Drosophila melanogaster: one gene and its partners. The protein of the gene in region 1 interacts with the protein of each later gene in a pairwise test. Each region holds a gene or a part of one and is shown in the gene's direction. Other genes may lie near its edges.

Evidence for each region.
Region 2: the proteins of Cpr67Fa2 (region 1) and CG13843 interact in a two-hybrid assay, tested with the Drosophila melanogaster proteins (one large-scale study listed by BioGRID).
Region 3: the proteins of Cpr67Fa2 (region 1) and CG4328 interact in a two-hybrid assay, tested with the Drosophila melanogaster proteins (one large-scale study listed by BioGRID).
Region 4: the proteins of Cpr67Fa2 (region 1) and CG12182 interact in a two-hybrid assay, tested with the Drosophila melanogaster proteins (one large-scale study listed by BioGRID).

What each region holds. Positions count from the first base shown.
Region 1 is NT_037436.4:10,887,914-10,894,112, forward strand, and holds Cpr67Fa2 (cuticular protein 67Fa2), read left to right. Parts: upstream 1-3,800; 5' UTR 3,801-3,854; coding exon 3,855-3,866; intron 3,867-4,104; coding exon 4,105-4,497; 3' UTR 4,498-4,603; downstream 4,604-6,199. Other genes in the region: Cpr67Fa1 (cuticular protein 67Fa1), read left to right, coding at 2,136-2,147, 2,305-2,697.
Region 2 is NT_033777.3:22,605,977-22,612,244, forward strand, and holds CG13843 (uncharacterized protein), read left to right. Parts: upstream 1-3,508; 5' UTR 3,509-3,561; coding exon 3,562-4,130; intron 4,131-4,178; coding exon 4,179-4,698; 3' UTR 4,699-4,739; downstream 4,740-6,268. Other genes in the region: Efa6 (exchange factor for Arf 6), read left to right, coding at 1,221-1,242; CG31156 (uncharacterized protein), read right to left, coding at 2,884-3,107, 3,170-3,299, 3,373-3,505, 4,746-4,976, 5,034-5,223, 5,276-5,475, 5,545-5,827, 5,887-6,257.
Region 3 is NT_037436.4:12,289,469-12,299,971, reverse strand, and holds CG4328 (uncharacterized protein), read left to right. Parts: upstream 1-3,848; 5' UTR 3,849-4,101; coding exon 4,102-4,138; intron 4,139-7,004; coding exon 7,005-7,722; intron 7,723-7,874; coding exon 7,875-8,089; intron 8,090-8,145; coding exon 8,146-8,333; intron 8,334-8,401; coding exon 8,402-8,672; intron 8,673-8,730; coding exon 8,731-8,936; 3' UTR 8,937-9,016; downstream 9,017-10,503.
Region 4 is NT_037436.4:2,592,326-2,601,573, reverse strand, and holds CG12182 (uncharacterized protein), read left to right. Parts: upstream 1-1,994; 5' UTR 1,995-2,072; coding exon of another isoform or gene 2,073-2,138; 5' UTR 2,139-2,193; coding exon of another isoform or gene 2,194-2,217; 5' UTR 2,218-2,254; coding exon 2,255-2,309; exon of another isoform or gene 2,310-2,449; intron 2,450-2,503; coding exon 2,504-4,380; intron 4,381-4,431; coding exon 4,432-4,584; 3' UTR 4,585-4,724; coding exon of another isoform or gene 4,725-5,542; 3' UTR 5,543-5,598; coding exon of another isoform or gene 5,599-5,704; 3' UTR 5,705-5,732; downstream 5,733-9,248. Other genes in the region: CG16986 (uncharacterized protein), read right to left, coding at 212-553, 615-704; CG16985 (uncharacterized protein), read right to left, coding at 1,463-1,677, 1,742-1,886, 2,073-2,138, 2,194-2,217; CG16984 (uncharacterized protein), read right to left, coding at 4,725-5,542, 5,599-5,704; dos (daughter of sevenless), read right to left, coding at 6,528-7,052, 7,109-7,709, 7,773-8,013, 8,075-8,186, 8,255-9,021, 9,088-9,248.

The sequences.
Region 1 (6,199 bases):
ATACATATATGTCTTCTTGTCCAAACTTGGCTATATCGCCCTTAAACGACTTACAACATTCGGCTAAATTGAGCGACTAAAATCTATTTTAGTATGATTAATTTAAATTTATGCGAAAACTTCGACAAGGTTGATTCAGTGACACTAAAGACTAAGCTTTAAGAGATCTAATCACTTTATAGCCACACTTTTAAAGGCAGCCTGCTCATAACACGGCATTAATAAGTGGCATTAAATTAATAATCATAATCATATCTCGGCACTATGCATAATTATGGGAATAAAGTTCAGAGGGGATCCCCCGACTGACTTCGTGACGACAGCAAATCCAAGGGTGCTAAGTACGTAATCGATGTTCGATCTGTTCTCAGAATTACCACAAGACTGTGCCTAAATTCAATAAATCTTTTGAATGTCTTTGGCACGACGTTACCATGTTACCGAAACACACAAATCCAACTTTGTATTAAACGCAACACAAGCACTTCCTATCGATCCGAGCAGACGGACTATTTCACTCTTGGCGTGTCATAAAGTTTAGTTTTACGAGCGACGTGTTCTCATCGGATGGATACATATCTGCCCAAGGCCATGCCCCCCCAGGTTGAATAATTTCATTGGCACATCGAAAACCTATCAGCACAGTGTGCAGAAGGCAGACATTAAAGGATCAAACGATTTTAAGGCTTTAAATATGATATAAGTATTTATTAAAGATTTTTTAGCATCCAGGTCCAAAATAAGGAAAAATATGTCTTACATTTTTAGTGCACTTGAGTGAGGATATTGAACTCGTTTTATTAAATGCAAATATTTCATTTATTCTCAAAATATTTAAAACATTATTTAAGAGGTCATTAAAAGAAACAATTTGTCACAACTTTAAGACGTGGAAAGTCATATAATCATATATACTTTTACTAATCGGTACCTAAAGAAATTAACATAAACTCGATTGTTTTCAGAAAGATATTCGATACTATTAATTTTAAAAGCTTCCTGCTGACTGAAGAACTGGTTGCGAACCACTGTGCTAGAATATGATACAATATTTTGAAAAATCGCATTAAAGGTGCCGCTGGTGACACGATACGTTTGGTAGTATTTGGATTTTGGATAAGGCGGATTAGGCGCGCCTGGCAACGGGTTAATCCAGTTTGATATCTCACTTGTGTACCAATTAGGCATTAACTCACTTTAATGGCCCAATTTGTTAAACGCACACATTTCAGCACCTCAGACGGACTTCATCACACGCGTAGAGCCAAGAAAAGGTTTGACTTATCGAACTGGAAAAGTTAACCATTGAGCAGACCGGAGTAAAACCATAAATTATGCTAAAATTGTATCGAGACTGGTCGGTGTTTTAAATGCATTTAATTAATACAATTTTTTGGGTGCGCCGCCTGAAACTGAATTTGGAACCAGAAACTGGAGTCTGCGGATCTCGAACCTCCAAGCCGACCTATGTGGCTGCGACATTGACATTGCCGCATGGGGTTCGTATTAACTTTTGCTCTTTGCAATGCCCACACGCACAGCAGCGGTCAAGCTGGTAGGACCTTATCTAGAAATAAGGTGCCTAAGAAGGAAAATAATGTGTATCAAGTAATACATTTTAAAGAAAATTTAAGCACCTAAATAAACTTAGTTAACATACAAACATAACATAAAATTAATTATTAAATTAATTATTAAATTAAGCTTTAAAGTATTTGAAAAACTCTTTAATTATGTGAAATGAATGTTTGAAAAGGCCATACATAGTTGTATATATTATATATATATATATACATATACAATTTATATATTATTTATATATTATATTATATATCTTCACCTTAGTTGTTTGAATGTGCATCACATCTTGGTTTGATTGAAAACGAAAAGAGTGGATTTTTGAACTTGTGCGTAGCTCTTTGGCTCTCAAGTCACTCTTAGTGCTCCAGTTTGGCCAATTTCGGCTATTCGATTTTATTGTTATTCAGATGAGTTTCCTGCAGCAGAGCGTAAAAGTTGTTTCGGTGGATCTGGTTTGATGTCGACAATTGGTATAAAAACCTAAACAGTCTGCAGTAAAGTCACCATTCAGAGTCGTCTCTCAGTTTAGACAAACGCACTCCAAGCCAGCAAAGATGTTCCGCTACGTAAGTCAAAAGGATATTTACTTCGACCTAAAACGAGTTGTGTTTAGAATTCTTTAAGATATTTTAAACATCTTAAAATATTTTAAACTCCTATGGACTCAATCCAAAAACGTCTATGATCAATTTGTAACTGACTGGGATCCACCTGCTTTTATAGCTGCTCGTCGCCTCCGCTATCCTGGCCTGCGCCTACGGTGCCGCCACCTACAACCAGGAAGCTGGTGCCTACATCACCAAGATCGGTTCCGACATCCAGCCCGAGGGCAACTACAACTACCAATACGAGACCAGCAACGGCATCGCCGCCCAGGAGTCCGGAATTGGAGGAAACCACGCCAACGGAGGCTTCTCGTGGTACTCGCCCGAGGGTGAGCTCGTCCAGATCTCGTACGTGGCCGACGAGAACGGTTACCAGCCCCAGGGAGCTCTCCTGCCCACTCCTCCTCCAATCCCAGCTGCCATCCTTAGGAGCTTGGAGTACATCCGCACCCATCCCCAATACGTCGAGCAGGAGTACCGCAGGCCCGCCCTCAGGAAGGTCTTTGGTTAAGCGGGAGCGGAAGTCTTATGTGATAACATTTTAAAAGAGCTTTATTACGATTTAAAAAATGTTTTAAAATAAAGAAGAAAAAAATTACATAAATCTATGTTTGTTTAAACTATTTCAAACATTTTGGATGAACTAGAATAATGGGTGCTTAATATATGAAATATGGTTTAAGATCCCACGAGGAAACGTAGCAAACATATTTCAATTGCACCTTTATTATTACCTATATTAATATTTCAATTTTCTCAAATTTTCTTGTTAAAACTATTTTTTTAAGGATATGCTTACTTTACCTTCCTATTTGTTTTATAGTGCGAATATACAGGCAATTCTATGTCAGATTTTAAGAACCAAATTAAATACCACAAACTTTCCATCCGTTGTCGAGCAGAAATTAACTATCAAGTCCTTGAAATTATAGGGGTACTTGCCCTATAAAACGATCTGTAGTACTTATTCCGACCAATACCATCTACTTGACACCACTTATTTAAATAAAATATGTTCCCTTATTGCGACACAGGTTGAACTGTTTATTTTTATGGCCTTTAAAATGAACAAATATATTTTAGATAACTAATCAAAAACAATTGCTTACTTAAAAAATAGAGTTTTACCAGTAGTATCATGGGTTTAGTTTATTAAACTGCCCTTTTAATCTGTTTAATTAATCTGCTCATTTCAAAATGATAACGAGTTGATTATCTCATCTTTAATATTTTGTACCATAATTTGGTGAAATAAATCGTATAATACTTTATAAGGATCGATTGTTGAATTTAATCAATTAAAAAATGTTAATTCTTAATTAAAACTTATTAGATACTATTAAAATATATGTGAATATGACTTTTTTAATATATGCATAATTTGATGTTAAATATAACTATCTTGCCAGATGAATACTTATGCAAAAGTTAAGAGCCAAATTTAAGTGCGTTTTTTGGCTCTTTACCTTTTTAAGCCGCTCCAGTTTGATCAATCTCAGTTTGGCCATTGTCATTCATATGAGTTTCCTGCCGTCTGCCGTAAAAGTTGTTTGGGTGGATCGGGTTTCGTATCGAGAATTCGTATAAAACATTGCTGCCCCGCCACAGAGTCATCATTCAGAGTCGTCTCTTAGTCGCAGACACACGAACTCCTCCAAATCAGCCAATATGTTCCGCTACGTAAGTATATCGCAAGGATAACTATAGCACAGCAGTGGAAAACGACAATTAGTGACACTAAAAATATCAAAATATTAACCAATATAATAAATAGTTTATACTAACGATAAGGATTAACACAAAAAATAAGTAAAATAGAAAACAGTTACCGGACTTAGATACCATGGATAGAATTGGCCTTTCAAGACATTGGAAATTTCATCAAAAACCAAATTGCAATAATAACATTGTCTTCTAGATGCTCGTCGCCTCCGCCGTCCTGGCCTGCGCCTACGGTGCCGCCACCTACAACCAGGAAGCTGGTGCCTACATCACCAAGATCGGCTCCGACATCCAGCCCGAGGGCAACTACAACTACCAGTACGAGACCAGCAACGGCATCGCCGCCCAGGAGTCCGGAATTGGTGGAAACCACGCCAACGGAGGCTTCTCGTGGTACTCGCCAGAGGGTGAGCTCGTCCAGATCTCGTACGTGGCCGACGAGAACGGCTACCAGCCACAGGGAGCTCTCCTGCCCACTCCTCCCCCAATCCCAGCTGCCATCCTTAGGAGCTTGGAGTACATCCGTACCCATCCCCAGTATGTCGAGCAGGAGTACCGCAGGCCCGCCCTCAAGAAGGTCTTTGGTTAATCGAAATCGGGACTAGAATGTGCCAACATACATATGAAAAGCTTTATTACGAATCGTAAAAATGTAAATGTAGAAATGAAATAAACGTCGAAGATGTAAAGAAAACAATCTTAAAAGTCAAATTTGCGTTGCTTAGGTTTACATGGACCAAGATCAGAATTCAAAAAATAACCGTGGGGAATATCAAAAAAATAAATCCCAACTCCTTAGCATCATAAATCCAAGGATATGATTGAAGGACATTTAACGATCATAATCAAGAAAAACCATCATCTATAACAACAATTTAACAATTTCTGTTTCATACCCTTTGTTTAAAACGGGTATTCAAATCGATAAAAATAACTTTTTACTAATGCAATTGTAAGTCAGTGTGAAAACAGCAGAGAAAACGCTATAGTCGAGCAAACAATTTTTAAAAAATAGTGGGCGTAACATTTTTTTGAAGTTTGTGAGCAAAGTCTGGAAACTGCATATTTAATTCGAATTTTGTAGGTTTCATATTTCCGGAGACCTCAAAGTTCAGACAGACGTACGGACACTTGGCAGATCGATCGCAGATCCTTCATCCTGTTACAAACTTTTCATCGAATCTAAAGTACCCACTTACTCTACGATTAACGAGTATAAAACTTGGTATTTGTTGGAGTGATTTATAAGCTGTTATATTATATACATATGAATTGTTTTGGCTTACTTACCACACACACTACATTAACACCATAGTCTGTGCTAATAAAAACTTATATTCAATAGTATACTTTTTGGATAACACCAAAATGCCAAAGGTTTCAAAACTTATTTAAATGCACGCTAAACTATAACTATCTCAAATCGGCAGCAGTCGTTAGACATTTACGATGACACTTGGTGTTTTGTTAGAGTTTCAAGTTCGTCTCAGATCCAAAAGCAAACTGCTCTGCCGGCATTTGCCCGCATTCATATTTCATTTGCATATCATTAACAACAAAAGCCGCTAATCGAGTGACAGAGCGTAGAGTATTTTGGCGCCTCCATATCGGATACTCTAACTATTCAGTAGGCGGTACGTTGACTTGGTAACTGGGTTTGGTGATCACTGAAAGCTCAATACCCATTCACTTATAATCAAAATATTTTTATACATTTTTAGTTTAATTAAATCTTTTAAATTTAAATAAAATTTATTTCTAGTACAGTCAGCTTTTCCTTTTAAAATTAAATGTTACATTAAATGTATAATACATATATATTTTAAATGTTTCTTTTAGAAAATGTATCACTCCCCAAATCATATACATTTGTATTATTATACATTAATTTTACTCAAGAGAAAGAGTGTGTCATATTCGCTGAAATATTTCTGGTAACTCCAAATTCGGCTTACGATTTATTTATTTATTATGAATATAAGTCAAGATTAGATAAGAAAAGAGCCATTGTGTGGCAGCGTCTGTAAATCGAGATCGTTGATCTGTGATTTCTAAGGCGCAGATAAGGAGAGGCCTTTACTCATAAGTTGGCCTGGGTTATAGAGCACCTGGGTCGTAAAACCGTAGTTAAAACAAACAACAGATGACAAAGCAGCTATTAGGCGAACTACTAAGCTCGTAAAAACGCGGTCAAATTCATATTTTCAAATGCGCGAATTAAATTAATAATTCGGAATGGCGAAGAGTCACCTGTTCGGCGATGGTGTAGGTGTAGGTCAGTGATCGTTGCG
Region 2 (6,268 bases), on another chromosome or scaffold:
TTGTTTGGCATTTTGCTGGCATCATATTACCACATCCCCACATATACAAGCTTTAATTTTGAATAGTTTTAACTACGATACGTATAACAATAACTGAATTCAGACTTAAGTGTTGCGCGTAGGCAATTAAAAGGAAAAAAGGAGACGGAGACCCCTAATGTAATTAGTTCTTATGTGAAAATGGTTTTATTTTGGATGCAACCACAACCACACAACATGCTGTGAAAACTCAATGAACAATTCGTAATTGATATAATTAGGAATTTAGAAAACCAAACGGTCGACCGTTTCATACGATTTAGAGTCAAGATTGAAATGGTTAACTATAGAAAGCAGTTTTTTGTAGCACTAGTATCCAAAGTTTTGGCGTTAAATGTATACAAACCAAAGAATATATTTAGAAACGAAATTAAACAAAGAAATGTAGAAAACACAAATGTGGTTCACTAGTAGCAAACGTTTACGTTTAAGCCTAAGCTACCGGCATTCCAAATATACATGCAACAACATAATAACTCACAAAGAAAAAAGGATTATACCAGTTTTACAAACCAGCACACATCCAACGGATAGATATAAAATTTAAGTAGACGAATCAATTAAGCCATCCCACACCCACACACTGTACACAAGTTGCTGATGATTTCACCGATGTACCCATATATGACTCATGTTAACCCGACGACATTTGGTGACCCCGAGCCCTAGGTGAACCCAAAGCAGTTGCCGTTACTCGTTGCCCGTTGCCATTCCGTTTTCCCGTTCAAATGCGTTCAAATGCTACGTTCCACCCAAATGCAAGTGAAATGTGAAAAGCAAAACCCAAATGGAAGAATTCTTCAATCTTACAGATGGTTCGATGTCTTCTGCTGCTGTTGCCCACTCTGGCGGCACTTGATCCATTCGAAAAGCCATTAAGCAACTTAGTCTCTTGCCAAGATTTAGCCACATCAGCCACAGCACACGAAGCACCACAACTCAGAGGCTAGTGATCCGCTCCAAGAGGTGCTCCTTGTAAATGCCCTGACCCGTACTGATCGACCCGATCACCTGTCTTATTAAATGTGAGCAGGCCGAGGCCAAAACTCAATGTTAATTGTTAACTCTTCAGTGTCTAGCTTGGCTTAGTGCGATCCCAAAACGAATTCCCACCATCCGACAACCCGTTTTTTGTTTTCAATCCACGATTGCTAACCTCGCTTATTGTTCTACACTTGCAGAAAAGAGAAGAAAAAGAAATAATTACGTTTTATTTCGCTCTTGATTTCGATCATTTCAAAACTCGCATAACCAACACACACCTACATCACAATCCCCGCCTCTTGGCTATCGGTAAGTGCCATGCCCACATTGAACCTATCAGCAACTTCGACTTATGCGTGTAACTATCTTTTCTCTCCCCACCAGTGAAGCAGGCGATTGAACGAATTTGAATAGAATACTCCAAAATGCCAAGCTGCCTGCGACGGGAACATAAACAGATCAGATCCACACAGAACCACTGAACCACTCACCCACTCGCATACTCAGCACCACTCGCGCCACGCCACCACCCACCCACTTACACTCAAGCGTTGCGGCTGTGCCGTGTCTGCCACAGAAATTCGGAATTCGTGCACTTTCAGTCAGTTAAAACCCCATCAGGGGTTGCGAGAAAGAGATCATTTGAGACAATTAGACTACCAATGCGATAATTAACGAGGGAGAATTTTACGTTTAAAGGTCGTTCATCAGAAGACATCGGCATAATCTCGGCAACCAGAGGATTATCTCGAATTCGTGCAGTTGATTTTATATTTACCATGCTACTTATCCAGAATGAGGGTATTCGAGATCGGTTTCACCTGATTTAAAGCTACACAGTCAGATCGATTCGAATTTGAATTATCGTTCATATTTGCTCCGCCAAAGATTCTGCTGGACGGCTGTTTAGGAACGAGAATGAAAACTGCTTATACACATAGACTTATTATTACAAGAGTTGATAAACAATACTTACATCATTACCTATGCTATCATTATAAATGATAAAAATAAATTATTAATTAATGAACAATATCTCTACACAACCACAAGATGGAGAACATCGGCAGTAACAATAACGAAATGAGAATTGAGAAGAGGACAAGCGCATTAGCATTAAGCTTAAGCAATTACTACCATACCGTGTACAACTTGTTTTTGGTCTTTTGCGATACATTATCACATTTAACTGTGTAGGAACAGTTACTCCAATATTATGTACGGATTAATATATTTATTTAAACAACTATCGGTTGATTACGCGACATGTCCATGTAGCTAGAATATGAAATTAAATATCCATTACGGGGTAAAGAGAGATGGAGGAAAAAATAAAATTAAATGCATCATATATTTTTGAATATATTATGATTATGGTATTGTGTAATTATGTAAATGCAGACTATATAACATTGTTTATAATAATTTTTAACAATTCTACTGAAACGGCAATAAATTCGAAAATACAAACTAACTAAAAGTGAAAGCAACTTGCCTGCTGCAAACCAAGCGCCTAAATGTATGCATATTGTATATTTATTTTAACTGGCTTAAGAGGGCATCACTTAGTTTCTAAAGCAATACCCTTTCGATAACAATTCATTTAAGACAACTTGCCAACTTGTGGCGAGAAGGGAAACAAGAAGACGAACGTGGAGACGGTGATTTTTATGTGAACATTTATTACTAACTGATAAGCTTTGATTAAACTTAGGAAAGCCGTTATACTATGCATATACACATATATATAAATATATATATGAACTATATATAGTATATATGAATGCTCGTGTGAGCAACCAAACAATTACGATATGAATCATTAAATACTTCCGAAAGCATTAAATCCCTGCAGTTTGTCTAATCCTCCGCCTTGAACTTAAACGAGGTATCCGTCTCCATCAGCATATTTTCCAAACGTAATTCCAACTGGCGTCGCTTCAGATCCACCTTTACCACCGATGCCACAATGCGATCGCCAACGCTCAGCTGCGAATTATTCATGTTACTGTTGTGTATGAGGCCATTGCGCTCCACTCCAACGTCCACGAAGGCGCCAAACTGGGTTACGTTGGTCACGGCACCTGTGTGTCGGAATAGTTTCAATAAGTACATATATGAAATGACTATCATAGTCTCCACTTGCCAGTGACCACCTCGCCCATGCTAAGATCATCCAGCCTAGTTAGACCTTGTTTGAACAGTGGCCTCTTGTCCAGATCTGCTCGATAATCCTGAAGTAATTCGCGCTGCAGGGCAACCAACAGGAACTCCAACTGAAAGGAAATTTATTTTAAATTATTTGAACATTGCAATAGGCCTGTTTAGTATAGATTGAGTGGCACTTACTCGCTCCATGGGCAGCTTGTGCTGCTTGGCAATGCGATCGAGATTAGGCTGGGATGAGGCAAACTGCTTGATGCTAGCTATAAAGGCAGCCTTGCCCACATCCGACAGCTTTAAGTCACATTCTCCGACAATACTGAAAGCACAAAAAGTATTTGGTTTTAGAGTTAAGTTTTCAAATTTTCCATTATAATGATTGCCAAGCTAAAGCAGGAATATGCGGAGCGCTGGCATTATCCTCCAATTGTGCCGCCAGCCAAGCTTCGATATGTTGCATGTGGAAAGGTAGCATTCTACGGCCACAACGATAAGCCGAAATACAAGCCCTGCTGGCAGCATCCGCTCAATGTGCAGGATCAAACCCGCTTTGGAGTTTGCTGGGAGTATCCGCCGGAGCGGTACAAGCGTCGTCCGCTTCCGCCACCGTGCCGGGGATCGACCATTCCCATCCATTTGCTGAAGCCAACCTTCAAGCATTGTGAGAATATCTACTCCCGCTACGATTTTAAGCTTGAGCAGTGTGTGCACGAGCAAACTCTAGTAGTTGACCAGAAAATGAAGGCCCTGAAGAATGAGCTGGAGCAGGCCAAACCATTTCAGATTGAGAGGGTTAAGGAGATGCGTTACCATGGAGTGCGTTATCGCATTTTAGCCAGCTCGACCGGATGCACTAAGACCTATCCCGAGTACATAAGCCGGATGACCGAAGAGCGGGCCCTTTGCGAGTTTCAGAGAGCCTACAATATCGTCAATCAGTCAAAGTAAGTCTATTAAAAATACACAGCCACTGCTAATTTAAAACTTTTTAGCACCGATTTGAGCAATTTATACCTGGACATGAGTGAGTCGAAAAAGGAGCTAGATCAACGCGTAGCCAGGTTGGACCGGTCTTTAGGAAGTACATTCTTGAAAGAGCTAGATTCGGTGCTGCAAATAATCGAGGACTTAAACACGTATTTCTTTGGCGTGATCGTGAAGCTAAAGACGTGGGCGGAGCTGATGGACCCTATGAAAGAGCACTCTATAGAGGACTATCTGGGGCTTTTGAGTCAGGAGACGGACTTCCGGACTTTTATGAGTGCCGGCATGGAGAACTGCACCTGCAAGCGTTGCGACAAGAAGGATCCCTTGAAGCCGTACCTTCCGTGCTGGTGTCAAATGGAATCTAGCGAGGATGTTACAAATCTTAAGAATTTTGACGACGATTGTCCAAAGAACATAGCTGGCATCACGCAACACGAAAGTGACATTGTGACACCTAGTGACACCTCCTTGTTAGTGAGGGCAGCGGATGAAAAGGCCAGGCTTGCGATGAATCAGGCGGAATAAAGTCTCATTATTATTGGTTAATGAAGTCAATTGAATATTGGACTTACCTTTCCACAACGTTGTAGCTCTCAGGATGCACCCAAGTGCAATCTAATGGATTCTGTAGTTGTCCTCCAACGCTTCGGGGTTCGATGCGCACAAAACCGGCGCACTGGACAAACGATTTCTCACCTATGCTTCGCACGGAGAGCAGATCCTTCCGTGTCTTGAATGGTCCTTTCTGCGTACGATGCTCAATGATCTTTTCCGCTTTCTTTTCCGACAGACCAGCAATGTGCCTATATGGTGGAGAATATTAAAAATATATAACTTATTTGACCCTTAATCACACATACTTGAGTACACTCAGACTGGCTGTGTTGAGATCAACGCCAACATAACTGACACACTCGGACACAACGTCATTCAGCGATGCCGTCAAAATCTTCTCGGGAACATCGTGCTGGTACATACCAACCCCCAGGTGACGGGGCTCTATTTTAACATATTCACTCAATGGATCATTCAAACGACGCGCTATGGACACTATACAAAATATGTTTGTTTGTGTTGCTTTTAATTTGATCTTCGTCCAAACCTGCGCTCCTTTCGTTTGTATCCATTTTGGGAAACTCCTTGGCGGCCACATTGCTGCAGGAGTAAATAGATGCTCCATTCTCGTTAACGATGCTGTAGCGAATGATCCTGCTGTCCAGAACGCCGGCATGAAACATACCAGTTAGCCAGTGCTCAGTTTCGCGACAGGCAGTACCATTGCCCAGGCCAATAATTTTACAGCTTTTGGGAAAGGCAAAAAAGACATATTAATAACTATCTTTGCAAATCGAATTCAAAATATATATATACTTATGATCTGAAAGAAGCTGAACCAATTTCTGTTCGGCAGCCCGCTTGTTTGACATGGCACCATGAGGGTAAATAACACCAGTGTACAGCACATCAGCAGTCTCGGATATAAGTGCCAGCTTGCATCCATTTATAAAACCCGGATCTATGCCCAAAATGCGTTCGCCTTTCAAGGGGGATATCAACAGTAGTTGCTTCAGGTTCTTGGCAAACACATCGATGGCTGCCTTTGTGCCTTTTTCTTTTAAAGCCGCTCGAATCTGCCTGCACATCAAGGGCTGCACTGTAATAAGTAATTAATTAACATATCATATGGGGGTCTTAATATATTCCATATCTTACACTTCTTCGCGTAGCACTCCTCTAAGGATTTTGTGAACACCTCCCTTCTTAATGGATATTGCAAGCCTTGGTTCATGTACTGATCGGTTATATAGCGCATCAGATCTCTTTTAAGGTAATCGTTCGTTTCTATCTTGACAGAAAGCCATTTGTGCTTCTCCCCACGATTGATGGCTAACATTTGATAAGGTTTTATAGTTTTAACATCACCCTGGAAGTTGAAATAATTCTCAAACTTTGAGCTATCCAATTTCTTATCTGCATTTTGGTTGGATCCTTTACTGGAGCTTGCTTTACTAGAAGAACTAGATTTAGACGATTTCGCCTCCTTGGTCTTGCTGCACTTGAGGAATACCCGGTGCACGTTTTGCCTAGAACGATA
Region 3 (10,503 bases), 1.4 Mb from region 1:
ATGCTTGCCAATCCCGTCTATCTGCCATTCGTAATGGTTATTGGAAAAGCAGCCGAAAATGGCCATCAAATATTGACTTTGTCTGGCTAGGTTGCTATTTGCCATTCGGTAATTCTGGTGCACGGAGAAAAATGATGCAGTCTAAATGAAAGGATATTCAGACTACCAAGTTGAAAAGCACATAGTATAAACCATGTATATTATGCAGTTATTAGTGTCTAATTAAGTTTATATAGCTTTATTTATAAAGCTTTATCAGCTGAACTCATAACTTTATTCCTCAATCATTAATATGCGTTACTTATTGGTAAGTTAATCACATATGCCAAATGGATGTTATGTGTTTGTATATATATTAAATTATAATATATATAAAATAAGTTAAATTTAGATTTATTTTTCCACTGTATGCTGAGGACAGCAACCCTGGCAACTTTACCCATTTCTTTCACTGCCAGCCATGAACTTTTATTATGCCTAAGGTAAATTGTGTTATTTATTTTTTAGGCCTGTCGCCAGCCACACAGTAATGGAAACAGTGTCGCCAACGGCGCAGAGTCCTTGGTCCTGGCTCCTCGCATTCTGTGTCCTGGTCAACGCATAATTCAGCGTTACTCTGTTGCCACATGGCCACACCCACATCCACCACCCACTGAGCTTACAGCATCCGCAATCCGCATCCCTTTCGGCCCCAAACAAAAAATCGCAACAATTTGTAATGCCAAATATTTTATTCATTCTGCGTTTGCCGAGCCGCCTCCTTGGGCCATATAAATAAATACATATTTGTGCACTTATTTTTTTGTTCCTTTTGGCCCTGTCGGTCCGATTGGCTCAACAGGTCAGATCCGGAGCTGCGGGTGGTGCCTTCACCATGTGAGGACATTTATGGCCAGGCTCTTCCTGCATACAAATGCAGCCGGGGAAAAGCGGAAAAGCCGAGGCGCAGAAATTTATCACGCCATTAGTGGCGCACAGTTTACCGGAAAATATTCACAATTTGTTTATGTCAATTGTGTGTAAGCTTTTTGCTGTCAAATGGTCAAATAAATTATACTTTTATTCCCTGAATTAAATCGCTATTTATTTAATCTGAATAAATATAATTTCTGCATCCATGAGGTTTAATATCTGTAATGTCGTGTTTGCAGAGTTGTAAGTAAATGTTTAGTTTTGGGTAGTTTAAATATGGTTATTTATTTAAATGTTACCATTTAGTAAATTCAATTTGAAGTAAATTACTGAAATGTAAGTAATGAAATGTATAACTCTAATATGAATTGCACCCGATGTTAGGCATTAAGACATATCTGAATATTATTTGAGTATTATATTTAACGGATTGTTCTTTTATAATCCCTTGTATATAAAAATAGACAAGCACTGGAAGAAAAATGTCCCCCCATTGGCGTGCTAATTATGGATCTGCTGCCCATTATTGATGAACTGATGACGCTATCTGGTCACCAAAATAGCGAGTGCCAGTGGAATTGGGACTTCATAAACGCATCGGCACGGCGGCAATTCGAACATAATGAACTCAAAGCCAGGCCGTTGGGTCATTTGTCTATTATGGCGCATTGATTAGCGCCTGACCCCCATTTTGCAGTTCACACTTGCGGGTCGGGATCGCCCCACCCCGCCGACAAATGCACGCAATGCCACACATGTCGTGTTTAATTAACCCCGAACAATTTCAGTTTCCGCTGCACGCCGCCAAATTCCCTACACACACACCCACACACACATATGCACTTTGGCTGCACACTACTCACTCATACAAAAGGCACGCGCATAATATCCATACATACATGCATATGTATGTGTAGTTTGTGCCCTCTGACCCCCATTGTTCAGTCAATTCAACCGGATCCCTCGCAAATGGCCCCAATATCGGAATGCCGTCGGAAACACAGTGACCCAAATTAATCTTTGTCATTAGCAGGGCCCAACTGCAAGTGTCGAGTGGTATGCGATCTAAAGGCCCCTCACAGGCGATGACATCGGGATTTCGGGATGGATGGAGGAATAGATGGATGGATGCAGGGATGGAGGCGGTGGTGCCTCCAAAACCGCCGCCCTTGAGTTTCCATGTCTAGGCTCTGCGTAGACAAAGTGCCAAAAGTTTGGAAGCCTTTGCGAGATGAAGCTGAAGGGAGGAGAGAGAAATGTATATGAAAATTTCAAAATCACAACATCACAACAGAACTGCAACAATTACTCATCATCATCAGCTACAAATATAGATTTCTTAGAATATTGTTCAATAAATATTATTTATAAGATTTAACATAATACACATAGATATCGTTTAAGGTGCCAACTAAAAATATATAAGGTTAACAGTTAGTAAATGAACAAATTAAACAAAATAACAATTATTAATAATTACAAAATAAATTATTATGAATTACACAATACAGTTTAAATGATCTTACAATTTTTTATAAAAATGTATTTTTAAATCTTGCATTACTTAGCAATTGTTTTTGGCACTTAGTTAAACAAATGCCAACATTTATTGTCACTCCTTTATTAAGAAATTACATGTTTCCTACCTGATATAAAAGAAGCACAACAAAAGAAGTACCCATCGCAAAATCCCCCAGGATCAAGCATTTAATGTAGCTCCATTGTCCTTTAAATTCCCTGCACATCCCCGTGCTCCGTGTACTGATTATGAATCGCAAAGATTACCGCACATAACTATTATCATCGTCGGAGTTGGGAAAAGTGGGCTGGGAAAGCGAAAGATGGCTGGTTGGTTGCCAGTTAAATGGTTCGCCCGCACACTAATTGTGAGTAACACGTTCGCGTTTACGAAACTTTTCTGGGAATTTTCGTCGGAAAAGAGGCCAAGAGCCAGGAGTTTCGACCAGACAAGTCCTCATCTCGGCAACTGGGTACTGGGAACTCTGAACTGGAAGCTAGACATACAGTCAGCCGGCAAAGTGCTTAGACATTAAAGTTTTTGGCGCCCCGGTTTAATAGACCAGAAAATTCATTTTGGCCAGGTTTAAAGGGCCACCGGCCACCCTCATTAACAGCTAGCTCTTTGAGCAAAATTCTCCTGGACACTGGGCCGCAAACCTTAATTAAAGCAGCGGGACTGGTCTTTAAGCTTAGTCCTTTTTATAGCGTTCGAAAATCAATAAATTTAAAATGTACAAGCCACTGCGGGAAAAGGGAATAAAATCCTAGCCAGCTCACAAACACACACACACACGGTAAAAATAAAAATAAGAAAAGAAGGACAACAAAATTCCAGCCATTGAGGGAGAGTCCTGTTTTTTTTTGGGGGGGCGGGGATGTTGTTGCTGAGGCGACAAAGCAAGCAAGAAATCGCCGAGCCAAACATCCTTTTGTCAATACAAAATACGTACGTACAACAAAACAAATAAATGTGCCCACGAGCAAAGACAAAGACAAAAGTCAAAAGTGCAAAATGAAAAATCAAACAACAACAACAACAACAAAACCAGCAAAACACAAAAAGCCAAAACAACTCAGAAGCGCCACCCGGATTCAAAATCGGCATTAAAACGCATGAGATGAGATGAGATGGTATGATATGGGGGTTCCGATCGACGCATGCGCCAAAAGCTGGCGAATCTCACGGAAGCTGGGGAAAGGCAAATGGCTGGCTCTCAATGGCTTGCACGGGGATGGAGCCAAAAAGGATATGGGAGCACAGGATGTGCCATAAAATGGCGCACACGCACACACACACAAAGGCAAACAGTGGGCACTTCTCCTTCGGGTTGGAGAGAATTTCCTATCTCGGCAGCAGATGCTTGTGCATTTGGCCAAAGAAGAGCAAATGATTTTTAACAAATTTCATTAACATCAGAGGTCCGTAATCATTCAAGCATCGCGTTTCGTAACAGGGCCAGGTCAGAAGTCCGATACTGGCCGCCCCAAAACAACAGTTGCCAACTGCATTTCGAGTCCCCAAATGTGTCCTTAGGCGTCCTGAAAGCTGTGCTCACAAAATGTGCAAAGATACGTAGGAAAATCGCGTGAAAAGCCCTGAGAAAATTTCATAAATGTCTGTGAACGTGATTATATAGTTTTTCTATTCCCGAACTGAACGATTCCAAAATGATCGACGAACACCATCCCATGCAGATCGGAATGTGTAAGTATGGGCAAACCCGAGGAATATGAAGTCTGAATCTATTCCAATAACCGACGGCATTACAAGCCCAACATTCCCAATCCCGTCGGCATTTTTCTATCAGTTTATTAATTATGTTAAAAAGTGCTCATTAATTTATGGTATGTAAATAGCTTCAAGTAGAAGAGTGCATATATTTCATTCACTTTTTCTCTAGTTTAATCATAGTTTAAATATTAGCATCAAGTGATTAGCTCAAATCAAATACCTTTAGATAAGTGAATTAGGAATAAGCCACCATGTATCATGTGTTATATCGGTAATTGTGATATCACAATTGCACACTTTTCAAAGGTATAAAGTGGATTTTCGTTTTGGCCATTAGTGATTTTGATTTATAACAGTCAAAGAGATCAGCACATTTTATACAAATTTTATTCAGTTGAATTGGTTTTAAAAATACTAACTTAATAGCAGCATAAATAAGTTTTGCACATGAAATTATTAGAAACCAAAGATGAATTATTTGTGAAAATTTGCCATTTTCTTGCTAAATTCTACTTCGCACAAAGCAAATCCCAAGTTTAAACATTGCATCTCAACACTTTTGCTTCAATTTGCCTTCAGTGAATGCTATTTAGCACCCAGAGTGGCAAGTATGCATATGACCGACTGCACACACGTCCACTCGAATCCGACTGGCTGAAAGCCAATGAAAATTACAACATATTTTCCAGAGCAAAGCAAATTTTGACTTCTGTCAGAGATTAGGACAAAACAAAGCATTTGCGCTGCGATTGCTGGCACAACAAAACGGCAATGGCACCATAACTCTATTGTCTACTCAAATCCGATTAAATAAAGCGCTGTCAGTTGCTGCCGAGCGAACTGCTGGCAACTGACAGCGGATTCGGAGGCAGCACACAGCATCCTGGCAGCGCAGCCGACATCCTGGCAAGCATTTCCAAGGGTTTCCGCTTACCCACTCACTGTCGTCGACTGCCAACATATGCCGCCAGCAGCCAGCCGCCAGCCGCCGTAACCGAAATCCTGATCCCCTCCAGCCTCATCCTCATGCTTATTTGCTAAGCCCGAGCATATTTTCCGTAAGGGTGGAAATCCGCCAGCTAAATGCCCTCGGTTAGCCCCCGGATTCATTGAAATTCGTTTATAATCTACATAGTTATGAGCACTGCAAGGGGTGGCATTTGCAACCCGTCCCTCGATTTCCACTGCACATTAGAATCTAATTAGAGCGTGGGCAAGTGGAAGTGCTATCAATGTCGGCTTTACACTTGTCGTCCCAAAATCCTCGAGCTCTATTCTCCGACATGTCCGGCAAACATGTTGGTATATTTTCAAATGTCAAATGGCAATGACAGAGCACTAAAAGTGTAACAGGTGTGGTTGTTGAGCGGATTATTCCGCTGCACATCTTAGGAAATAGCTTCCCGCAGTTCCAAGTGTCACAAGTTAATGGGTATCGGGAATGGGGAGATCAGGACCTTGGAAATTGGGTTAAACACTGCTGGAGACTTCAGTTGCTATGAATAAGTAGCATATTGAAAAGTTTATAAAGCCAAAATACACCCAACGAACATAGCACACATGTCAGCAATATTTTGTTACACATAAATGAAGTTTAATTCATTATTAAATATATAAAAAGAATTGTATATAAAGGTGAAAACTCAAAAAATGCTTTAAAAAAATATATATAATGCTAATGCCAAAAGTTACAAAATAATTCAAAGAACAAGTTTTCAGCTTAATTTCTAAATGTTTTTAGATAGAGCAAAGCTAAATTGTTTCTGCAGGTTTTATATTGCGGTGGTTTTGTATAAATCAACCAAAAACTATATTGAATTTCATTTAGAGTACTGAAGTCACAAAAATATTTGCTGACTATTTTACAAATCGCTTAATTGGTTGACAAAACACTATTTGATTCCCATTTTCCCAGCTATTTTTCTGCATAGTTTTTCTATATCCAAATGGCAATTAAATGCAGTCCAATTAAATGTACTGAGAGCTGCAATCGACTATTTTCGCATTTATTTGTCATTTGGCAGAACAAACTGAGTGCAAGCTGGTCTAGAGCAATTCACGTCAATCAGTGCAAGAGGTGTAGCAAAAATTGTTAATGTAAACGATGGCTGGAATACTTTAACATTCTGGGCATATTTCTGGCATAAATTGGCATACCAGATATTATTTTTGCAAAACATTTAATGAAATTACGCACACATTTAAATCACTCAAATGCGGAATGACAAACACACACGCATGTGAAACGCACACCAGTGAAAACAAGGGAAAAACCAAACAAAATGAACGTCACACACACACAGAGGAGCACAAAAGCTGGAAGCTCGAAACAAATTACGTTGAAATTTCAACAATTTGCCATAAATTGAGACAACAAGGCACAAAAAGCCAACCAGTCAGCACCGCAAATGTACAGTAATTTTTTGCCACCAAGCCAAACAATCGCACATACGCATCGGTTACGCATACGCCACGTTGGTCGTATTTTTTACATGCCACATTTCGCATGGCATTTCGGGGAATTTCGAGTGCAGTCGCACTCACACTCGCACATTTACTCACACTCTTTCCGTTGGTGGAAAAGTCATTTCAATAATTGCAAAACCACAAATTTACTACAACTCGAAACGGTTATGGTCACAGTGCGAGGCAGATGGACATTGGTCCTGCCCGCAAAAACGGGAACCCTTTTTATGCCTGATGACCGAACCATAGTTGTAAATTGAGGGCGCTCTTGGCCACATTGAAAATAAAAATAACTGAAATGTTTCTCATTTGCATGTTCCTTTGGGGCGGTGGGCTGATCTGGACCAACGACACGACCGCAAAACCAAAATAGTTCCGATGGACATAAAATGTCAACAGCAGCAACTGGGTGCTGGCCAACTGCCGCAAACTGGGGGCCTCAATCAACTGCTGCTGTTGAACGGAAATGAACGCATGTTAACAACACCAACGACAGCAGCAACATCGGTGGTGGTGGCAGCCGGAAGGAGTGCGAGTACCAAAGCCGGAGTAGCCCACAATGACAAAATGGCGTCAGTCAGCAGAACTGTCAACGGAAGTTGCAGTAACCACAACAGCAGCAACAGCAGCAGCAGTAGCAGCACCAACAGCAGCAGCAACATGGCCATAAACAAGCAACCGATGGGCATGGGACCGGGCACAGGAACCGGAATGGGAACAGGAACAGGACATGGTCCAGGACCACCCAACCATACACACTGCAACCGCATCACTTTGGGCGAGTGCAGCCTCAATGGAATGGACGGCTTTGCAACGCCGGCAGCACCTCCATCGGCATCCAACACACCGCAAGCGCCTCTGGGAATGGCCTCCAATTCCGGCATGGGCATGGAACTGGGCCTGGCCATGGCATCGCCGCAGCTGAGCCAGTGCGCCCACTGCTGCCAGCCCATTTGCGATCGCTACATCATGCGCGTGGTGGAGAACTCCTTCCACGAGGGCTGCCTCAAGTGCACCGCCTGCTCGCTGCACCTGGTCCACTCCTGTTATGCGAGGGAGGGCAAACTCTACTGCCGCGTCGACTACGAGAGGTGAGTCCTGATTACTGAACCCTGCCAAACGGGGGGCGCTTAAAACAATCAACTCCGTGTGAGTTGCACTTACTTTAAAATGGTAGTGTTTATTAAATGGTACAGCTTAATATTTGAATGATATGATATATATTTATATTTTCGCTCCACAGACTCTACATCCGCAATCATTGCCTTGGCTGTGGCCTTAAAATCGCCGCCGATGAGCTGGTGATGCGATGCCACGAGAACGTCTTCCATCTAAAGTGCTTCGCCTGTGTGGTGTGTGGAGCTCTGCTGAAGAAGGGGGAGCAGTATGTGGTCAAACAGGGGCAGCTCTTCTGCCGCTTCGACTACGAGAAGGAGGTGGAGATGCTACAGGGATACGGTGGGTAATGGCCCTATTCGAAATCGGTTCCCAATGATAACCATATAACTATGTAGATTTCTATGGCGATGAGCTTTTCCCGCCCAAATTAGACGGACGAAGAGGACCCAAGCGACCGAGAACCATTCTAAACACGCAGCAAAGACGAGCTTTTAAGGCCTCCTTCGAAGTCTCACCGAAACCGTGTCGAAAAGTGAGAGAGAATCTGGCCAAGGATACTGGATTAAGCCTGAGAATTGTGCAGGTGCGTAAAGAGGTTTAAATGGAATTTAATCATTACATATTCTATTAAACCAATATCGTATTTTGTAGGTTTGGTTCCAGAACCAGCGAGCCAAGGTCAAAAAGATTCAGAAGAAGGCCAAGCAGGAGCCGCCCAGCAAAGGAGCTAGTGACTCGCAGGACTCGCAGGAATCGCTGGACAGCAGTCTGGCCACCAAAATCAAGGACGAGGCGCACAGCGACAGCGAATCACAGCTGGAATCGCCGTACTCGACGACCTCCGATGGACTGACCCGGATGCGATGCACCATTAAGGACGAACAGGAGCAAGTGCCCTTCAACTGTATGGAGACCAATAAAGGTGGGTTATGCCCTTTAAGGATATTTACGTATCAAGGAATATAAAATACAATTTACAGAGAACTGCAACAAGAACAGCGAGCCCATATTGAACACCATTCTAGGTCTGAGCTACGCCACCTTTCAGCAACTAATGGGTCCCTTTGCCCAGACGCCTATGATCAATCCGATCGACCGACTATATAGTATGCAAAGCTCCTACTTCCGGCCGGAGGAGCTGCAATCCTACGGCGAATGCGGCGTCAAGGACTCCATGGATCACTAGTCCGCCCGGCGAAGGCCGTCGAATTTTAAGCCCAAATCAAAATTAGACCTTGTAAAATAAAAGAATGTTAATGTGCTAGCAATCGAACTTAAACACCCCGAACCCGGATAAGTGGATTTACTGCCCTTCCACCCCCCTTGGAAGCTGGACCACTTGCGCAATCCACCCACCGGCCGGGTTGGTGGTTGGTGCATCCCATGTTGGTGGCTCTGCAGGTGCAGTCTCGAAATTAGTTCCGCTCGGTTGACAGGCACAAAGCATTTGCCACAGCAGTCGCAACCCTGCTGAATTCGTCCTTTCGGCTCGGAATGGGCGTAAAATGCCGATTCGTCATGCGTAGTTCAAAGGCTCGGATACGAAGGGATCCGGAACCGTATCCTCCCCACGATGACGAGCCGTTTGATAGCGTCGACATGAATGTGCTGCAAATGCCGCCCAAGGACAGCACTTTTAACTAGCATCCTGGCCTTTCGTTTTGCTTGAGCGGAAGAACTGCATCGGAATGTCCCAAACCCAAAATCTAAGACAAATTGGGTGGTAAATCCTTAAGCTTTCAAAGGCATAGAAAACCAAACTATAAAAAATGCTTTTTAACAAACAACTTTTTTGCCGAAAAACAATATTATATTATATTAAATATAATATGGTTTTTGAAAGCAGAGGAGAAAATTCATTTCATTATCCTACTAAAATATTTATATAAAATCCTTGAAAAAGCTAAACTATAAATAATTATGAAATTCAAGTTGATTTGTTTTGTAAATCGATCCAATTGTGTTCAGACGAACACCTCATAGCAATCAAACACTGAATAGCAAGCTTTTGCATAATTGTTATCCTTCCGAGACTAGGCCGATTCCGAATTTAGGAACTCGAATGGAAAACACTTGGACAATCGGTGGCTAATTGATTTACGAGGAACTGCAACACGTGTTTACACAACTCCGGATGAATCCAACCCCGTCGCGGAAGGAACAAGGACCCCGTCACTCCGCCAAGTTCCGTACAAGTTTGTGCAATTTGTCACAATATGTGTCACATTAGCCACAGCAATTGTGCTTAAACGTCACCGTCTCGCCGGGTATCCGGTTTTTGTGCCTCCTCCCCGGATGTCGTCATCGTCGTCAGGGCCGCTAACCAGATTAAACCCCAATCGCGACACCGATACGGCCAAGGATATCCTTACGGTCCTCGAAGGGGATGTTTGTGGTAGGGGTCGCTGAAAAAGTGGGCAAACAAAGAGCCGGGACTCAACCACCGTTGAGCCAACTGCCACCACCACCACCACTATCACCACTACCACCATCATCATCGGCGAGGAATCTGCACGCACCCCATTTCCCTTGCAGGATATCCGTGTAAGTCGTTTGCAGATACACGCATTAACTGTGGCCGTAAAAAAGAGATTCAGTGTCCGCATCATTAATCAAAAGCGGACAAGGCCAAACAAGTGCATTGCGCATTCCGAAAAAACTGCCCTCGAGAATGACGAAGCGATGTCCTGGAAGTCCTTTCTGCAGTGTCCTTTTGCCATTGAGAGCACCACTTGCACCACCTTCAACCACGT
Region 4 (9,248 bases), 8.3 Mb from region 1:
CTCTAATCAAAACCAAAATGGAAACACACCGGCAATTGCGCAATGAGCATGTTTAATTGACAATTAACTAACAATGTACTGCTACACGTGTAATAAAATAAAGCACATTAATAACCCATAATCATTTATTTGTACAAATTATGAAACTTACTTGGGGCGCTTCGAAAATATTTTTCAAAACGAAGTAGCTCCCAATTTGAGACTATCTAGTCTAGTCAAATTTGATATACTTTAGATGTGTGCCCTTGGCTATCACCAAGTCGTCCTTCTTGTGCTTCAGGGTGCAATCGATGAAGGCAAGGTACTTGCCCACCTTGGACAGATTGGCCTGAATCACCACATCGTCGCCCAGTTTGGCGCCGTTTAGAAAGTTTACACTAAGATCTACCGAAACTCCGGGATGACATGGCTTGGACATTAGGGCGTAGGTGGTTATCAAGTCCACCAGGGTCATGATATAACCGCCGTGCAAAAACTTGTACAAGTTCACATGATCCTGGTCCACCTTTAGCTCAGCAGTGCAGGCTCCATCGCCACCGTCTACGATCTTGACCTTTAATGGAATATAAGGATGAGATAATGATATTGGTAAGGAGACTCTATGGTGATCTAACCTTCTGTAGGTGACTTTCAAAGCCCGTTGACTTGTTGATAATCTCGGTGATGTGTTTAGCGAATTCGAGTCCCTTCTTGCGAGTTCCCATATTATTTATTGATGTTGCTTTACAGACGATCCGCTAGCTTCTATATAACTACAAAATGAATTAGTTTGTCCGATCGGAACGATTAGAAATATACTAGATTTAGTTTTGTAGATAGATAAGTAGTCGTAACGTGCACTTATATCTCAAGTGTCAGATAGTAATTGTTTTACAATAGAACAATCCAACTTTATTGTATGTATGACGTGTGTAAGTTTGGATGGGACTAAATCCATTAAAAAATAAATCACAGTAGTATATTAACAAATGGATTGCTTTGATTTTTTCAATATTTGATTTCATTATCTTCGAGTGCAGTTTTCCGCTTTTCGATGAAAAGTAAACAATTAGCAAGTATCAAAAAATAAGGTAAACATAATATAGCACGATATTATGAAATAGTTAGTATTTAGTTAACGGATCCTACCTAACTATCCCCGTACTGCCCGAAATTTACATAAAAATCTGAAAATCTAACGTAACACCTAACAAAACAATTTCAAAACAAACAACAGCTGTTTTGCGATAAGCAGAATCGCCAATCGATAAGTTAAAAGGGCAAATCGATATGCAAAGTCCTACCTATTTAAAAATTATCCGTTGGGATTTCTATAGTCTTTCATCTATTTTAGTTTTAAATATCTTTATTTTGTAAATTAAGAAATAACTAACTTAAGAAATAATAAATAATTAAACTAGTACGTCTTAAGCAGAGGTTCGAAAGATTTTATTTCGTTTTCTGACGATCTACAAAAATTGTTTTAAAAATCCAGTTTTTCCTTGTCGAACTGAATGTACTTGACCTGTCCGCCCTTGGCGATGATCTTTCCATCGGACTTACGCCTCAGAATGCAGTCCAAATAGGCCATTTTCTTACCGGCCCGCACGGTATTACAATCAATTTCAATAAGTTCGCCAGGTTTCGCTGCTGCAATGTAGCTTACATTCAGGTTGGCCGTAACTCCGGGATGGGATCCTTGAAATTTAAAAAAATTTCATTGTAGATTCTATAGATTGTAATAAACAAACTTTCAAAATACCTTTCGACATAAGGGCATATGTGGTACAATTATCAACAATTGTTGCCGTAAGACCACCGTGCAAAGTTCCTTGGCGATTCAAATGCTCATTGGCCACAGTGAACTCCCCTATTGCGCGACCATCTCCACCGCCTGTAATTTTAATCTGCGAATTGAAATTTGTTTACATTTTTGAATCTCTGAAGATCCCACGAGAGAGGTGAGCACTTCACGGTTATCGATTGCAGCGAGCTGAATTATGTAATACCATCACTGATGACAGTCAGCTGTTTTTGAGAGACTTCGACGGCGTCGCTTTAAAATCGGCTGCACAAATTGTTTAGAATCTTACCATTTTCAAGACGCGGTCGAATCCATTGGACCCGCTGGCGTACTCGGACATCTGCTTCACAAAGTCCTTTGAAAAGAAAGAACTTCAGTTATCTACTCAACAAGTTACATGGTGCTCTAACCATTCCCAGTTTCTTGGCCGCCATTCCGGTGGATTTGGATTCCTGAACTGAGCACGACGAAATGACGAAAGTTACTGAGGGAGAAATTTCACATGGCGTTCAAGATGTCGGGAAATGTGAGTGTATGCGTGCTAAATAGATATACCCACACATCTGAGATAGTGATTGCCGATTTCGCGCGGTTTGTTGTGCTCGCTCTGTTCGCACTTACAAATAATTCCTATTCTTCAATGAAATAGTGTAACTGGAATATCTTGTAATATAATTGCAGTTTGTTATTGCAATTAATAAATGTTTAATTTCGTTCTAGATTATCTGGATTTTCACCTTCTAGCCAAAGGATTCGTCCGCCAGGACTCGGTACACGACTTTGTAAACAGCGATTCCGATGGAGACTTTATAGCACTGAGCGGCTCCAAATCGGAAGTGATCACTCTGGAATTGAGCAGCAAGTTCATGGTCGTGGATCCCTTTCCGTATTTTGTGGCCATTTATGATTCCAACGCTGCGGAAACACGACCTCTGGACGTTTTGGCCAACAAAGTGGATCTGGTTGCCATATACGACAGCTGCGATGTCCTGGAGGCACAGCACTTGGCCCTGGACCCGGCATACACGGCTGTGTGCTCCGTTGCCGTGCCACCAGCCAGACTAACAGCTGTTAAGCGAGCACCCAAGCTGGCAGCTAATGGAAATCTCCTCCTGGGCTCCCTCAACACTTATGGATCCTTGAGCCTAATAAACAAGTCCGCTGAGTACAATCGTTGGAACCCTGTGGAAGGACTAAATATCGCTGAAACTCTGAGGGACACTCTGCTGCCTGAAGTGGACATCGCCAAGATAAAAGACTTTAAGAGCTATCAAGAATATATTAATCCCGCCTGGATCACTATGTTTGCTTGGTTACCTGATGATGCAGATGCCACTGGCCAGCATGTTTTGGTTCTGGGAACAGCCGCAGGAAGTTTGTGGTTGCTCACACTAAGCGCCGATGTCAAAACTCTTTTAAGTCATCAAGAAACGAAAACCTCAATGGGTCGTATCTGCCATATACAAGCTTTCAAGGACCTTCTACTGGTGGGCGATAGCAACGGACTCATTCACCTGTACCAATTGCCAGCTAAGGGAAATACAGCTCTCGCCTTAGTGAAGCCCTTGTGGGAGAAAGCCGATCGCATGGGTCTGCAAATGGCAGTGATCACTGAATGTCCCAGAATGGATTGCTATTATATAACCTGCTGCAAGGCGGCGCACCTGCTGACCTGGAGCATGCCAAGAACGGGGAGCACAGACTGCCTGCAAGCTCGGATCTATGTCGGCGGAATGAAGATCACCGCTCTCTGCAGCCTGGAGAACAGTAGCTACGTTGCAGGAACCGCTGGAAGCTGTTTGTCTTGCGTACAAATTATCCACGAGAATAATCAGCTTAGCCTGCAGATGCAATCGATAGCCATGGGTGTCCTTCAGGATTTCCAGGTGATGGGACTGTGCACCAGTAGGCACAAGAACTTAATGACCCTGTTACTCTACCGCAACAAGGAATATCTAAATGAAACTGTATCTCAAAAGAACCAGTTGGTTATGCAAGTGCTCAAGGTGGGGAATCAGGATCCACTTGATCAGCTTGTCAGGCATCTGGAATCCAATAAGCCCATGAATCACTATACCGATTTATTAGCTGGACTACGTCTGCACGTTTTTGCCGAGGAGAATTGGCAAAAATTTATGGACTTTTGTCCATTAGATTCCATTGAATTTGCCGATACCGCCACTGAAGGTCAGCTGCAGCAGCTGCAAATTAAATTTCATGTTCTTCAAAACGTGATTCGCCTGCAATCGAGCCACCTCCAGCTGACAGTTCACATCCAAAAGTCCCGGGATGAACTGCAGCTGCTCCTTGCGATGCTGAATATCACACACATAAGACTGAGGCTCCAGTTTATTGGGTCATTAAGTAAGAGATCACCATTCCAGGAGCAGGCGATAAAATGTATGTTCGAGGAGGCCCACAGACTGATAAATAAACTCAATGACGACTTCACGGAAAACCATGCCCTAGGATCCACAGCAAGGACATTCGTTGAACAAATGGGCAACCATATTCAGCACTTGCACGAGATGCTAGGTATACCTGTGATATCTAATCCCCAGAAGCAACTTCATCGATGCAGTGTGTCCTTTGTGGAGGTAAGAATTCACTAGAATTCATTTTAAGACAAGACTACAGTATCCGTACAGATCTCCCTCAGCTTGGAGCGACGCTACTGCAGCCTCTGCAACCGCCAAATCCTATTCGAGCTGGACAATCTGCAAGAACTCTACGAGTCGGGGAGACATCTGACATGTCCCGTTTGCCATGGAAGCTTTGCCACGGAAATGTTTAATGCATAAACGTTAAATTTATTCTCAATCTTAATTACGAAGTGTTTTGTGTGTCCGCCTCTAAGAGCAAAGCAAGTGAATCCATGGAGACACCTCACTCGGCTTCCAGATGCCGACACACATGGTCAGAAAAGGTGTGTGTGTCATTGTTAGTACTCGGAAACATAGATAATGGGAGTGGTCTCGATTAGCAGAATGTCCTGCTCCACCTGGCGAAGATCGGACTCCAGCTTGCTTTTGCGCTGCCGCTTGGCGATGCTGTCGATAAGGAGCGACATCGACTGATACTGCTTGGTCATCTCGGTCAGGCTCAGTCGCAGTCCCTCGAGGATCTCATTTCGCTCGGCCTGCTCCATCACCCGCATACCCGGCATTGGCGGCGGACCACTTGATTGGACGGATGCCCTGGTGAAACCCTTGATACCGCGGCACAGCTCCAGCAAACGTGCCTGTTCCTTGGCACACACCGCATTCATGTCGGCCAACATCCTCTTGGTTTTCTTGAGGTAAACAGGCACCTTGCCGAAATCCTTGCGGCAGATAAACTGCGGTACCAATCCGGAATTGAGTAGATCGTGACGAGCTCCCACGGGAGTGTCTACATAACGAGGTGGCGGGGGACAGGGAACCGTTTGTCCGGCACATATCTTGTTGCGTTTGATGAAGTTAGGTACCATTGCCGGCTTTTTGCCGCCACTGCCCGGTGGTGGTAGTGGGGGCATTGGCGGCATCTTGGGACACTTGTGGGTGTTCTCTCGCCGCCATTTGATGCCCTGGCTCTTGCGCAAATAGGCGCACGGTGGGTCAATCGGAGTGTGAGCACAGCCCATGGTGCGGTGGGCTGATTTCTTGGCCTCTGTCAGGACGCGGGTTCCATCGTTCTGGAGGATAATCGATAGCTTCTTGTCCTCCTCGTTAAAGCGTTCGCGAAGTCTCTTGGCATACTTGGCTGCCCTCTCCACAACAGCTGCAAAATTGCTTAAAGTTAGGTGGGAGGTAACGATTTTTAGTACGAATCCCTACGATTTTTGTAGACAAAAATTGATTCCTTAGGTCCTTGGGCCTTCACAAAGTCCTGCTCGCACTCGAGAATATTCTCATCGTGATGGGTGATATAAACCAGGGACATTGTAATACAAATATGTAAGGATGAAGGTAGGGAACTCGAAAGCGTGCTAGTTTACTGACTATTCGTTTAATAATAACAGTCTGTTTGGTGGAGACTCCTGCGTTGCCAAGTACCTCTGCGTTGACTTGGATTGATTTAACTCGAAACAAAGGTTGCTATAGGATTTCCAGAATAAACAGAAGGCAACATCGTTTCCTGGTGATATTGTAATATTCAGATATTTTCTAGCAATCGGAATTCGATATTTGTTCTGGATCTTTTAGGAGAACACACAAAATTGGTATTATTGTATATATATTTTTTAAAGCACAAAATCAAGCTACAGCTTGTGTCGCACACGAGTTACATTATTAAATTGTAAATAATTTGTTACCATATAAAATTCGTGTATATAAATATTTCGCTTGCGTATATAAAATAATTGTTTGCATTGTAAAATTAGCACTAAGATCGTTTGTCATGGTTACATTTTGATTCCGAAGCTTAACAATAAACATGGAAGTGTTGGAAGCACGATTTAAATACGAATACGACATAGATTCAGATACGGGTTACAGATTACAGATTCAAAACAGCACACAGAAATGCTGGTGCCGTCTTACAAGCTAGATATGTGGTTTAATGAATAATGAATTTGACGATGTTAACGAATGTAAAAGCCACTCGAAATTTGCACTGTTTTTGGATGGGGTCAGCTCTCCTCAGCTGACCACCAATAGGCACTACGAAAATCTCGGATCAGCAACATGGTCCTTCCTTTGCTATTGCACGTTGACAAGTAGATGTACTGGAGATATGATTTCATTTAGCTGAACCAGCAGTTTCACTTGTTGCCGCTGCTCTCGCGCTCCTCTCGAATCCTCTTAAATGCCTCCGTCTTGACAAAGTCCACGGATCTATAGACCACGCTGCTAGGCACTGGCGCTCGAGCTCCGCCAGCTTCGACGCCTGCGAATCGCATTCCACTAGCTCCATTTCCGCCTTGTGAGTACAGATTCCCCACACTCATGCTGGATCGATTTAGCAATGGCGGTTTGTTGGTCACATCCAGATCAAAGTACTGCAGCTTGTGCTCAGTCTGCGCCGCCGCTTGCTGCTTGGGAGCAGCTGCTGCCGTCAAGCTCATCATGGCAGCCGCTGCGGAGGCGGTGCGCTGATGTTGTACCGACATGCTGCCGGGACTGTTCGGATGATGCCGATGCTGTTGGCGAGGCAGGGTGCGGGTCTCGTGAAAGAAGGCGTTGGCTGCCGCCGGGGAGTGTACATCCGTTTCATGCGGCAGCACCATTGAGAGAGGGGCACCGGAGGAACGTCGCGTTGCCGGCGACATGGTAGCCGAATTGCCCAACTAAAAAGAAGTCATTAGTAAATTGAATATGGGTGTGCACAACGTTTGTCACTCACCTTATAGGCATTCGGTTTGCACTTCCTGTCCACACTGGGCGGTCCAATGGGCTGCTGCAGTTGGGCTGCACCCAGTTTATTGGTTAACTGATCTACGCCCACCGGGGGCTTTGCAGGAAACTCCTCCGGCGGTTTGTCCTCTACAACTGGCAATCCACCCGCCACCTTTGGCTTAAGTTTCCGGTTAACCGGCGGGCAGTCCGCCTGCTCCATGAAGTCGTATCGAAAAACATTGCCCTCCATCTTTGTGGGAGCTGCATTGGTGTAGCAGTGTCGAGGCAATGTGCGCGCACTGGTGGGCGATGATGCGACTGCCTGTGCCTCACCCATCAGGCCGGGATTCGCTGCCGCTGAAATTGCGGCCACTGCACCCAGATCGGCCGCCATGAGATTCGGTGTGGATGCTGCAATGGGATTGGAATTGTGCGGGCTGGTGACTGGTCGCTCGCCCAGCAGCTGGTTGACGTTGTAGTAAGGCTGCTGGTGGGACCTTGGAATGTCATAGCTTTCCTCGATGAAAGCGGAGTGCGCGTTGCGGCGGGCCACAATGGCCGGCGAAGTATTTTCCGTATCCGACAGCTGCGGCAGATCGCGAGGAATTCTGTCAATGCGCAGGATGATTTAGTAGGCCGTTTAAAATTGAATTGAGTGTGTGTTAACTCACTTTTCATTCTCCTTAAAGTCCAATATGAGATTATTTTTGTTCTTCAGCACCTTGGCCAGCTTATCCAGCGTTCCCTGGTCACCAGCCTCTGGCAGAGATGCTGCTCCTGCTAGCTTGGAACTCTTTTCAGCTGGTGGCACGATCGCTCCTCCTTCCTCGGGCATTTTAGAGAATCGCTGCGAGTACGTTAGCACGAATGATTCGTTTTCAATGGAACTATCCGAAGGTCGGGTACTGCGATCTGTGAGAAATCTTTGTTTACTACGAGAATTCGCTTTGATATTTGCCTTTTGAGTACTTACCCACATTCTCGCGCAGTGGCAAAGGATGAGCCCACTCATCGTCATCGGTGAAAACGCTTTCCGAATCGGAGTCGGAGCGTTGTTTACTAGCATTGTTATTGGCCAATTGTTGCTGAAAGGCCAACATGATAATTAATTATAAATAATGCTTGACGCGCATCGTTATCGCTATCAACTTACCAGACTCAAATTGGTTATCTTCGGTGAGTAGGATTGATCGTTGGTCAGATTTAGACCTATGTTATTATGACTACGCGGCGTATCGTAGAACTTGGGATCCAAGTTGTTCAACGGCGTGGTGGGGTTGTTTGGTATGGCCAAATCTGCGCCGGGCAGTGGAACGCCGGGCAGGAATCTCGGGCTGCCCGAGAAGCACTCGCTGATGGGTATGTACGGTCCGGATGCGGTGCTCAAAGCGGGTGAAGCCTGTACGCTGCTGTGTTGCTGGGCAGCTGCCTCCGCCAGGGTCTGCTGCGTGAGCACCAGATGCTCCGGCAATTTGCGCACTACTCCGTTGGCACTGACCGCCAAGCGAGCAGCTTGTTGCTGCTGCTGCTGCAGTTGCTCGGCGGCTGCAGCTGCCGCCTGAGCTTGGATCAAAGCACTGTGGTTTAGATAAAGAGCCGTGGCCGGCGATGGAGGCGGTTGCTGCTGGGCAGCCGAGAGCAGTTCCTGCTGATCGAAATTGGCATCGCAGAGCATCGTCTCGCGATTGCTGTACTCCGTGTTGACATACACCGAGTCTGAGTTATTGTTGCCGGCATTCGAGGGCATCGGTTGCTCTTCAATGACCGCCGGTCGTCGCAGCTGGGCAGATCCTCCAGCATTTGGGACCGAAGCCTGAGGCGCTGTGGTTCCGGCCGACGAGTGCAACGATGTGGTGGTCGTATTTTGAGTGGAGTTGCTTAGACCGCCACTGGAGCTCGTGTGTTGGGTGCGGTTTTCGTCTGGGTGTTGCAAGAAAAGAAAAACTTAAGAAGGGGTTCTTTGGACATGGGCTTGCGGACACTCACCTGCACCCACAGCTCCTAATGGCAACTCATTCGATTGCTTTGTGTCGTGTAGGTGACACACCTGGCAGATGCAGTTCACCCAGTCGCGCATATCCGCCTCCGTCTCAGCAGCCAGGTAGTAGGTGCGCTTGGGCGTCTTGATATCGAACATGTACTGAAAC